2 linked regions of the Schizosaccharomyces pombe genome follow. Each later gene encodes a partner of the first gene's protein in a complex. Each region holds a gene or a part of one and is shown on either strand. Other genes may lie near its edges.

Region 1 (6,555 bases):
ACCAAATATTTAGAACGTAATTATTAAAATATCGGAAGTATGCCTTCTTCTGCTAGTGAACAACTTCTTCGAAAACAACTAAAGGTAAGCGCACGAAATCTTCATATCCAAATATTCATGATTGTACATAGTATCTTAATTCTTGAACACATACTGATAGATATAGGAAATTCAAAAAAATCCTCCACAGGGTTTTAGCGTTGGTTTAGTCGATGATAAATCCATTTTTGAATGGGAAGTTATGATCATTGGACCAGAAGATACATTATATGAAGGTGGTTTTTTCCATGCAACATTATCGTTTCCTCAAGTATGTATTTATGTTTCACAGAAAAATAATATTTGTTGTATAAGGTAAACAAGCTGGTCACTAACCTCGAAAAATTAGGATTATCCTCTGATGCCTCCAAAGATGAAGGTATAGTAAATACATTGATTTTTTAATTGATAGAAACTACATAGTCTATGCCTAAAAACGATTCTAACGGTAACAGTTCACAACGGAAATTTGGCACCCTAATGTTCATCCGAATGGCGAAGTTTGCATATCGATTCTTCACCCACCAGGAGATGACAAGTATGGATACGAGGATGCTGGAGAACGTTGGCTTCCGGTACACTCTCCGGAAACCATATTGATTAGTGTAATTTCCATGCTTTCTTCCCCTAATGATGAGTCCCCTGCCAATATAGATGCTGCCAAGGAATTTCGAGAAAATCGTGAGTATATACTAACCTACAAACAAAAAAATTTACTCTTTAATAATCAAATCGTACTAACTTTTTCCAGCACAAGAATTTAAGAAAAGAGTTCGTCGACTTGTTCGCAGGTCAATTGAAATGATTTGAAGATAATGTTCAACCTAGGTCCCTAATTTCCTATATTTAGAAAAAAGGCTATGAAGGAAATTCAAGTCGCTGCATAGAAAACCTCCTAAGTCAACTAGCAGTAAAGCTTACTCAAAAAGTCTGTAGCTTTACAAGTTGAATTGCATATTTTATGCCATCTTTGAAGTATTGCCGTTGCCCATTTTTTGAATAAGTTTAGCAAACTGTTCATTTATTATCACATATAATGAAATATTGGCAGAACGGTTGACATTTTAAAACTAACAGCTTTTGATTCTTTTCTGTTTTTATTATAAAGCTTTCAAGTTTTTCAAGTGTTACAACCGCAAGTGATTTATCCTACTTCTTTACCAATTACAGCCATAATTTAGATAAACAACAAATAAAAATCTACATTTCACGATTGAATTTTTTTCTTTGAACAAACGTCAGCTAATACTTCGTGAATTGATAGTTTTCCATTGAAAATTTTCTATTCAAGTAATTATTTTCGCTTATACGCTCATACTTTATCAGCGACGGTTTCAATTCCGCGTTTTGCACAACATACATTGAATGCAGCGATAAATCTCAGTCTATTATATTTTACACTAACTAGCTCAATGTCTCCTACGTATCCGAATGACTGATTCAATGATTAATCAAACCAATTAAAGAATCTAGCGAAACTTCGTTGAGTTTGAAAATTAAATACTCAGAGTAACCATTTAAGATGAATATTAAAATTGCATTAAGAACCGTGAAAGCATTGCCTTTTCATTTAGCGTTTTTTTATTGCATTATGCTTAAACTTTTCAGAATGACAATTAATATTACGCTATTCCGCAGTATGGTGGTGTTCACACTGGTTCAAATGCGTATATGGAACGTAGACAGCTATTAGGTCAAATCAGATATTAATAGCTTTTATCATTGTCATTTCTCCCTTAACTATTTGCAAGTCGAAAAAAATCCAATTTTAGCTCATGCACAGCGTTCTGCAGTAAACATGCCTCTGGCATTCACAAATCCCGGTACACCTCTAAAACGTACAGCTGCCTACGACAATGTACAATGGAACCAAAATCGAATATTAGTAAGTGAATGGACGCAAACGATATGCGTTTGTCTGCTAGTGGTTAAACTGCAGAACGAAAGCAGCATGTCAAAGTATTGTTTCCAATTGAAGTAATTGTTTAACTAAATGGTAGACATTTGGAACTCGCTATACCGTATTAATTATTGTAAATAACTACGAATCTTATCAAAATATACAATTTGGAGAGTCTATTGGTGCAGTGGCTTTGGACCAACGTACGGGGTTTCTAGCAATAGCACATGGACAAGTTTTGGATATTTATAAGCCCGCCGATTCTTTGAAATGGACTCATCATTACAATTATATAACTCAGCTTTCTGAAGATATTACTCAACTATCTTGGGGATACAATTTTGATCTGTTGCTTTGTGCTTCGTCATACACTAAACTTATAAATTTCTCTGAAGACAAACCCAGGTTGGTTTGGTCGCAGAACAGAATCTCGGATTCATTCCTTAGTAGCACTATTTCTTCCGATGCTTGTTTTATAGCTTCTATCGAAACAAAAAATCCACTTGCTAAAGTTTGGCAGCGAACATCTCCTCAAGGTACAGTTAGCTCATGTGATGATTTCAGCTATCTTGTTCATCCTTGTCGCGTAAGGTTTTCCCAATGGTCTAAACACCTTCATCCGGACGCCAGTGGATCGACTCCCTTCCTGAGTACGGTAGGCTATGATAACGTTCTAAGAATTTGGCAAGTTGGTAGCCGATTTGGTTCTCAATTAATGCATCTTTCTTGTTTTCTTAACTTGAGAAAATACTACAAATCTGATCAACCACCATACTGCTGTTTTATTGATAAGGACGATTTTACTATAGCATTAGCACATGCTATAAGTCGCCATTCTGGTCAAGTGCATAAGGATCGCATTTTAAATAGGCTTCTGGCTTTGGCCAGTGGACAACCACATATATTTTTGCTATTTACTTTTGAATGTTTGTACATATTTTCTCTAGTAATTGACCAGGAAACTTTGTCATCTTTTGAGCTTATTAATCAAGTTCCAACGAACTTTCCCAAAGGCGCTCTTCAACCTGACGGATTTATACCTATTTACAGGACCTCAAAACACGAATTTTACGATTATAACATCATTTTATTTTTTCAAAATTCCGCCCGTGAATACATGTTTAGTCTTACCGATTTCTTTTATAGTGACTTTGAGTTAAGAGTTAGTTACGATTTTTATGGACATGATTATCCCATAAAAAGCTTAACAAGAACCTCTAATGGTCATGGAATTGTATCCCGAGATGTTAATCGTATCTGTATGTTTCAATCATACATATCGCAAGACGGGAAAAATCAGTTAATTTGCAGGTTCAGATTATTACTTGGAGAATCTGACTTTATATTACCTCTTTATGCTGGTGAATATGCAGCAGTACTCAACTTAAATTCTTTAAAATTATGGCATTGCAATGAAGCAATTCCTCCAACCCTTCTCTGTACATGTCGTCAAGTCCCTACTAGTCCGATAATAACCTTCTTTATTCTTCCTGTTCAAAACAACGATAATTCCGCCCTATGTGCTTTGACGGAAGGAGGCCATGCCTGGTTTTGGAGTGTCTCTAACGAAGCTCATGATGGTTCTGCTGTACTTCGGTTTATAGATCGGGTAAATTTTACAAAGAATTTAAATATCGCATCGGCTGTAGATGTCATGGGTTGGTCTTCTACTTTAAATTTGAGCAGTTTATCTTCATTTGATCAAGAGGTATTTCAATCAATATCAAAAGACGGTTTATTACAGACTTGGATGGCAAGAGTATTGGGAGACGATAAAGCGGAAATATCGGAAATTTCCAAAGTGCAAACTAGCATCAAATCTGCAACTATGATCAAAGGCTCAACATCCAAGAAAGTTGCTGTTGTATCTGAGAACAATCGTCGACTTTCAATTTTCGACACGCGTAGTTCAGAATTCTCTGAAAAGGAAGAATTTTCCTCTGTTTTTGATGATTATGGACCAATAAATGACTTGGATTGGACTTCTACTCCCAATTCCCATTCTATCTTGGCTGTTGGCTTTCTACATGATGTTATTCTTTTGTGCCAAAATCGCCGATCTTATATGAACGATATTCCATGTTGGTCTCGTATTCGTAGATACAATCTTTTAGAATATACAAATTCATTAATATCTGACTCTTCTTGGTTGGATAATGGGACTTTAGTTACTGCCATTGGTAACGGACTTTTTTATTTTGATAATTCACTTCCCGAAGATCAGTCTTTACTGTTCCCTGCATCATTGAAACGTTCCGCAAAAAATATTTTTGATCTTGCATACCAGCTTAATGGAATTTTACCAGTTTTTCATCCTCAATTGTTGCAGCAGCTTTTACTTAGAAACCAACCCTTTCTATTTACTAATATTTTGCTAAGGTTTTACTTGTGTTTGAAAGATGATGTAGATATGCATTTTCTCTTAAATATGGACTGCAGTGAGTTTTACTGCTGTGACGAAGAAATTTCTAAAGACCTTTTAATAAAAAGTCTCAGCCAAAATTCTGCGGAAATTCTAAATCCTGCGGAATTGGATTTTGAAGAGACCAGTGTCTCAAAGCATTTAGGATTATACATTGATGAAATGATAAAGAAGTTGACTGCATTATTAAAAGTAAAGAAAGTCAAAACCCTCACTCGATCATCTCAGTTTTTACTTCTTAATTTAATCGAGGCATTCAATAAGGCAAGAGCATTGCGAGATTCATTGGACCTCAACGGAAAAAGATATTGCATTATGCTAAACCAGTACGTTTTATCAAAACATCAACGTCAATTAACAAGCTTGCCCACCCGAGAGATGGCGTGGGCTTTTCATAGCTCTAACAAAGCTGTTCTGTTGGACCACACTAAAAAGCTTCATGGAAAACCATTGTTATGGAATGCTGTTGAAGAATATGCGATACCGTTTTGGCTAAATGAGCAGCTACTGAAAGATGTATTTTTAGAGCTGTCTCGCAATCATTACGCTGAGATTGACGATAGGAACCCAGAGAATGTTAGTTTATATCACATTGCTCTACACAAAATAAATGTATTTCGTGATCTTTGGCGTCTTGCTAGTTGGCATAAGGAATCAGCTCGAACGGTTAAGTTGCTTTCGAATGACTTTTCAAAAAAGAAGTGGAAAGTGGTTGCATCCAAGAATGCTTTTGCACTTTTAAGCAAGCACAGATATTTTTATGCTTCTGCATTTTTTCTTTTGGCAGATAGTTGCTATGATGCCGCAAAAGTATGTATCCGTAATTTAAAAAGCATTTCATTAGCCATCGCAATGACTCGAGTCTATGAAGGCGACGATGGTCCGACCTTAAAGAGGCTAATAAACGAGTATGTACTTCCTTTGGCTGTATCTCAAAACGATAGATGGCTCACCAATTGGAGTTTCACTATTTTAAAACAGGAAAAAAAGGCCTTGCAAAGTTTGGTATCTCCCATTCGCTCGCTGGTCAGCGATAATGACTTTATACAACTTTATACATCCGATAAAAACGACCAAGAAATTCACGAAAATAAAGATTCACAACGAAATAGTACTAACGAACCCGTACGAAATAAGTTTCCGTCTGATGATCCTGCCTTCATTTTGTTATATGAATGTTTAAGATCCAGCAACGTGCAAATTGATGAAAGTCTTGAATATCGATTTGTTTTGCATAATGCTAATGTGTATTGCCAATTAGGATGTGACCTAATAGCACTTGGGCTTTTGCGTAATTGGAAATTCCAAAAAAATCCTGCAACTGCTCATCTTGAAACTGAGGATTATATGGTAACTGACAAGCAGTCTGCAGTGGAAAAAACTCACGACTCCCCCAAACTTGGAAAAACTCTTATGGGACAAGATATCCGGCCAACACCGGACGATGTCCCCGAATTTAATGAATCTGCGTTCAGCTTCGAGTAATTAATTAATTATCGATACGAGTTTTTAAAAATACTACAAAAAATCAAATACGGTCAACCCTTAGTTTATCGTGTTTCAATAATGATATTAAAAATTAATTTACTATTAAATAGCATATAAGAATACAGATGAAGTTCCTCAGCGTTTCATTTACACAATTGCGCAGGACGTAAAGAGAGAATTAAAAATTTCTATACATTTCGAAAATAAAAACGTCCGCGGTATAACTCGAAAAAAGAAAACAAAAATATAAATAGATAGTGCAGCTCACGGAAACAAAAAATTAGACTTGCATATCGTTTGTTACATTCCACAACACTCAAGGTTAAATTTTGTTTCGAAAGGCAAAGTAAATGAGGGAAGGATTACAATGGGATAGACGACCAAAAGATTCCAAATCACACCATCAGATGGCAACCACAATTTGGTAAAGTTGCTTATGAGCGTTCACCGCGAAGACGACGAGCCAATTGCATATCCTTGGGTTGAATAGTTACACGCTTTCCGTGAATAGCACACAAGTTAGTGTCTTCAAATAGAGAGACAAGATAGGCCTCAACAGCTTCTTGGAGAGCACCAATGGCAGAAGACTGGAAACGCAAGTCAGTCTTGAAATCTTGGGCGATTTCACGGACCAAGCGTTGGAAAGGTAGCTTACGAATCAAAAGTTCAGTAGACTTTTGATAACGACGAATTTCACGAAGAGCGA
Region 2 (3,946 bases), 1.7 Mb from region 1:
ACCAATTTCTTCGTTTGAAATGATTCATTTAATGGAGTCAATGTAATTACGGCAGACATACCATTCAGGGTGAAAGTTGAAACGTATCAAATGGGCGGATGTCGAAAGACGGTAGTAGAAGGAAATTGAATGTCGAGAGCGAAATTGTCCTTTTTAACCGTTGCGATCAAAATATACCACAAAAATCAAATGTTTAAAGGTGGAGTGATATTGAAAGACACAACGTTCAAGCCACCAAGGCGTGTGTGAGAATATAATTCATACTAGAATTATTCTCTTATGGAAATCTTGTGCATCTTCTGTCGCTTTAATACAATACAAATAATATTATATCTTCGTATAGTAATATTATAATTGCTTGAAAAGCATAAGAAGTTAATGTACATAAAAGCACTTTAAATTAACGATTAATGCAGCATAGTAACCTACTTTTCGGTTTCACCCATTTTAAGATAGTAATTCTCTCGTTTTATAATACATTGTGAAATACTTTCACGATTCTTGGTAAATTCATGCTTATAGTGTATCATGCATAAATTAGAAGTGTCATTATTTTATTCCTAAACTACATGGACAAAATGAATTGCAAATTGAAGCAAAGAGAAAGAAAATCTTCAATCGAATATTTAATCAGATAGGCTTAAAAGAAGTTGTTAATAACTTCTCCGTTGATGAAAAGCAAAGCTATAAGCTACAATAATGGGAATAGCTTTTCTCGCTCTCCACTACTATAGTTCATGTACAGTTGTTTCTTTTAAATGCATCATATATAGGTCGGAAAATTAGGACAGAAAACACATATATCGTAAGTAATGGATAATATATACACAAAGATAAATCTCAAAGAAATGGATGTTAACTTCAATAAACTTGACATATTGATTCGTATGTGGCATGCGGATATGAAGTAAGTAGAATGCAGTAAGGTTAAACGAATGAGATCCAAGAGAAAAAGCCAAATATGTAGATGAAATTCATAGAATACAAAGTTAATCATGCAATCAAGCGAAAAACTGAACATAGTTTCAAAACATAAAACCAGGGAGATTCCCAATATCAAACCATTTATAACTGCTTAGGCAATTGAACAGAGAGCAAATCAGTACTGCCACTGAAAAATTCAATTTATTTGGCACCATATAAAGAAGAAGAAATGGTTTTAAACCTATATGAAACGTCGTTAACCTTTTTTTGTAACGCTGAAAGTTTTGCCGTTACTGCCAGAAGAATTGGATCCTGAGAAAAAGCATCTATTCTTTGAGAAACAAAAGGTTTAAGCATTTCTATATCTACGGAATTTTTTGCAAAAGACTCTAAAACTTCATTGGGACCTGAAAGCCTAAATAAATGCAGGCAGACTGAAGCATTTGAAATGCTGAAGCTCAGAGCTAAATTAGAAGGAAGAGGAGGTGAAAATAAATGATTACGAACGGTCTTGTGTATTTGACGAGGAGAATGGTTAAGGCAACTAAAAGGGTTGCTTGTTCTGGAGACAATGGAATTTTGACTTTTTAGCGATATACTGCTGGCATTGGATGGGATCTCCTCTTTTTCAGATTCCTCTTGCATGATGGAATGAAGTAGACATACAATCGCATGCAAAATTTCCTGCAATTCCTTTATGGCACGTTCTGTATTATGTCGCAATCGGGGCAAGCAATATAAAGCGTAATGCATATAATTACTCAAGTTGAGTATTTGGTCCAAATGAATAATAGCAGAATCTTTCAGCTTTAAAACATGCGTAGTACGACCAACCTTCGCTGTGACATTGACACGAACTACGTTACTGCTGCTTCTTGAAACAATCCCTTTGACGGCGTCGGTTTTCGGAGACGTGAAAACTAGGACAGTTGGATCATCGGAAGAAATTAAATTCAATGCTTCCTTTAACCCTTCCGACATAGATTCCCAAAATTCCGGTAGCACATTAGTCTCCAACCACTCTTTTTCTTTAACGATAACAGAAGCATCAATTTCCGTTTGCATAATAAAATAGTTTACAAACGGGATTTATAAAGTAGATATGGTGTTATATCATTCCAAAAAAGTTGAAACAAAAATATTTAAAAGCAGCTAACGCTGAAGGTGGGTAGTAAGTAAAGTTATACTAGTCACTCGTTGATAACAATTAAATAGCATATGCGAGTGTAGTTTAAGAAAACAAAGATTTTCTATTTTTATTAATTAAATTATCAAAAAACTAAAGTTACTGTCATAAACCTTACAATAAAACTCAGGACTCATGTCTAAAACGGATTACATTAAAAGCCCTATATAAAAGAATAAAAAATACGCAAACAAAGAAACTTTTTCTACCAAAGTATTCACAGCTTTTTCCAAACTCCTTGTAAAAACGTACGCTTCATATTTAAGTTACGCTTTCGGTTGTCAACGGTGCGATTAACTCGATCTAATGTTACTAAGCCAAACCCGGCGCTTTTCATCCATTCAGCAATATCTTCTTCTCGAAAAAAAAGTGATAAAGTTCCATCCTGTCTAACGAACGTCTGTTCATCAATCATAGATGGGTCACCGCTTGTCATGAATTTCTCTTGAGCAAAATCGCCATCACAGTAATCACGAAACACCAAATGCCCTCCTGGCTTTATGACTGAAGCCAAGTTCTTAATAGAACGAAGCTGCTTCTCGCGTGGAATGGCAGATAATACAAAGATGGCAGTTAATGTATCAATGCAAGCAGAACCCAAAACTTCAAGCAAAGAATCTTCGGTTATATCATTAACAAAAGGAAAAACTCTATTTTCGTTATAACAGGAATGCTTCTAAATTAAGACAAAGGTTAGTAAATTAAATATTTCAGAGCAAATTGGCATAAATTTAGTAGCTCTCCTTACCTTCACAAAATCTATAGCACGAGGACTAAAATCACAGCAGTATATCTTCAAATTTGGTTGCACTTCTAGCAGAGGATAGACGAGGTTTCCAACACCGCATCCGACTTCAAGGATAGTCAATGGCAACTTATCGGGCAATCCAAAATAACAATCGAATTCACGATCAAGCCAGTGTCTATCTTTGAAAAACCTTGTTTCATTTCGCTTGTAAAACTTATCCCAAGACTTTTTCGACTCCTTTTTATATTTTTCAACCCAAAAATCACTTAATTTTGATATACCACTCATATCTCCTAACAATTTCGTAGCACGGTCTTCTATATGTATGAAAGATGTTTCAAAATATTACCCAACCCAGTAGTTATTCCAAAAAATGCGATAAAAAATTTGTATGACAACGATTTACCCTACAACCTTCAATGAATACCAAACTGGCTCGATCAATTTTTTTTAAATTAAAAAAGCACTATTTTAAATAAAAAAATAACCAAACCTAGTTCGTTAATTCCAAATTCACAAATCAATGCACACTGTGCAGAGAGCGTCTTGTTCTTCCTTGTAAACCTACACCTATACCAATTCGCGCGCACCTTGTGATACTCGCAACTCTACAAATATACAATGAATAGGACTTCAGAAAGTGTGGAACCTCAACAAAATGAAAAAACAGCAGTGCATTGGAGCAGAGAATGGGTTCCTGTTGTTGTAGATACATATTCTAATGAAGATGATGAGGATAATGAAGAAGGAGATGAATCCAGGCCTCAACGAACATTTTTAGTAAAACGGTGGGTGCAAGATAATGTACAAGTGGAAAAGAAGGGAGACGAAGAGACTGCAGCAGCAGATAATTGAGAAAAAGTAGATGAAGTAGGAATTTAGAGTTGCAGCGTCACCTGCCCTTTGGAATATACCTTAGCACCTGCTTCCGTTACCTCGTATAAAAGCTCCTTGTCATCATCCTCCGGGGTCTCGCATATTCCACTACGAAAGTGATTTGGCATTCGAGAAAGACGCAGGAATCCGGTGATTCGTCGAGCGCTACCGCTAGTCAAAGGCCGACAGGAAATACATCTAGTTGCCATGTG

What was found. The genes of interacting proteins can lie anywhere in the genome.
Region 2: rav1 (region 1) and rav2 share a complex: the UniProt entries of both Schizosaccharomyces pombe proteins name them as parts of the RAVE complex.

The regions. Positions count from the first base shown.
Region 1 is NC_003423.3:3,522,836-3,529,390, forward strand, and holds rav1 (RAVE complex subunit Rav1), read left to right. Parts: upstream 1-1,700; 5' UTR 1,701-1,837; coding exon 1,838-1,924; exon of another isoform or gene 1,925-2,039; coding exon 2,040-5,846; 3' UTR 5,847-6,010; downstream 6,011-6,555. Other genes in the region: ubiquitin-conjugating enzyme Ubc15, read left to right, coding at 40-84, 167-310, 389-418, 495-720, 791-849; hht3 (histone H3 h3.3), read right to left, coding at 6,284-6,555. UniProt on the Schizosaccharomyces pombe protein: Component of the RAVE complex which is required for stable assembly of the vacuolar ATPase complex V-ATPase.
Region 2 is NC_003423.3:1,861,041-1,864,986, forward strand, and holds rav2 (RAVE complex subunit Rav2), read right to left. Parts: upstream 2,108-3,946; 5' UTR 1,990-2,107; coding exon 1,126-1,989; 3' UTR 501-1,125; downstream 1-500. Other genes in the region: csc1 (FHA domain-containing protein), read right to left, coding at 1-59; trm141 (actin binding methyltransferase), read right to left, coding at 2,328-2,786, 2,859-3,146; protein tam8, read left to right, coding at 3,480-3,713; elongator complex subunit Elp6, read right to left, coding at 3,737-3,946. UniProt on the Schizosaccharomyces pombe protein: Component of the RAVE complex which is required for stable assembly of the vacuolar ATPase complex V-ATPase.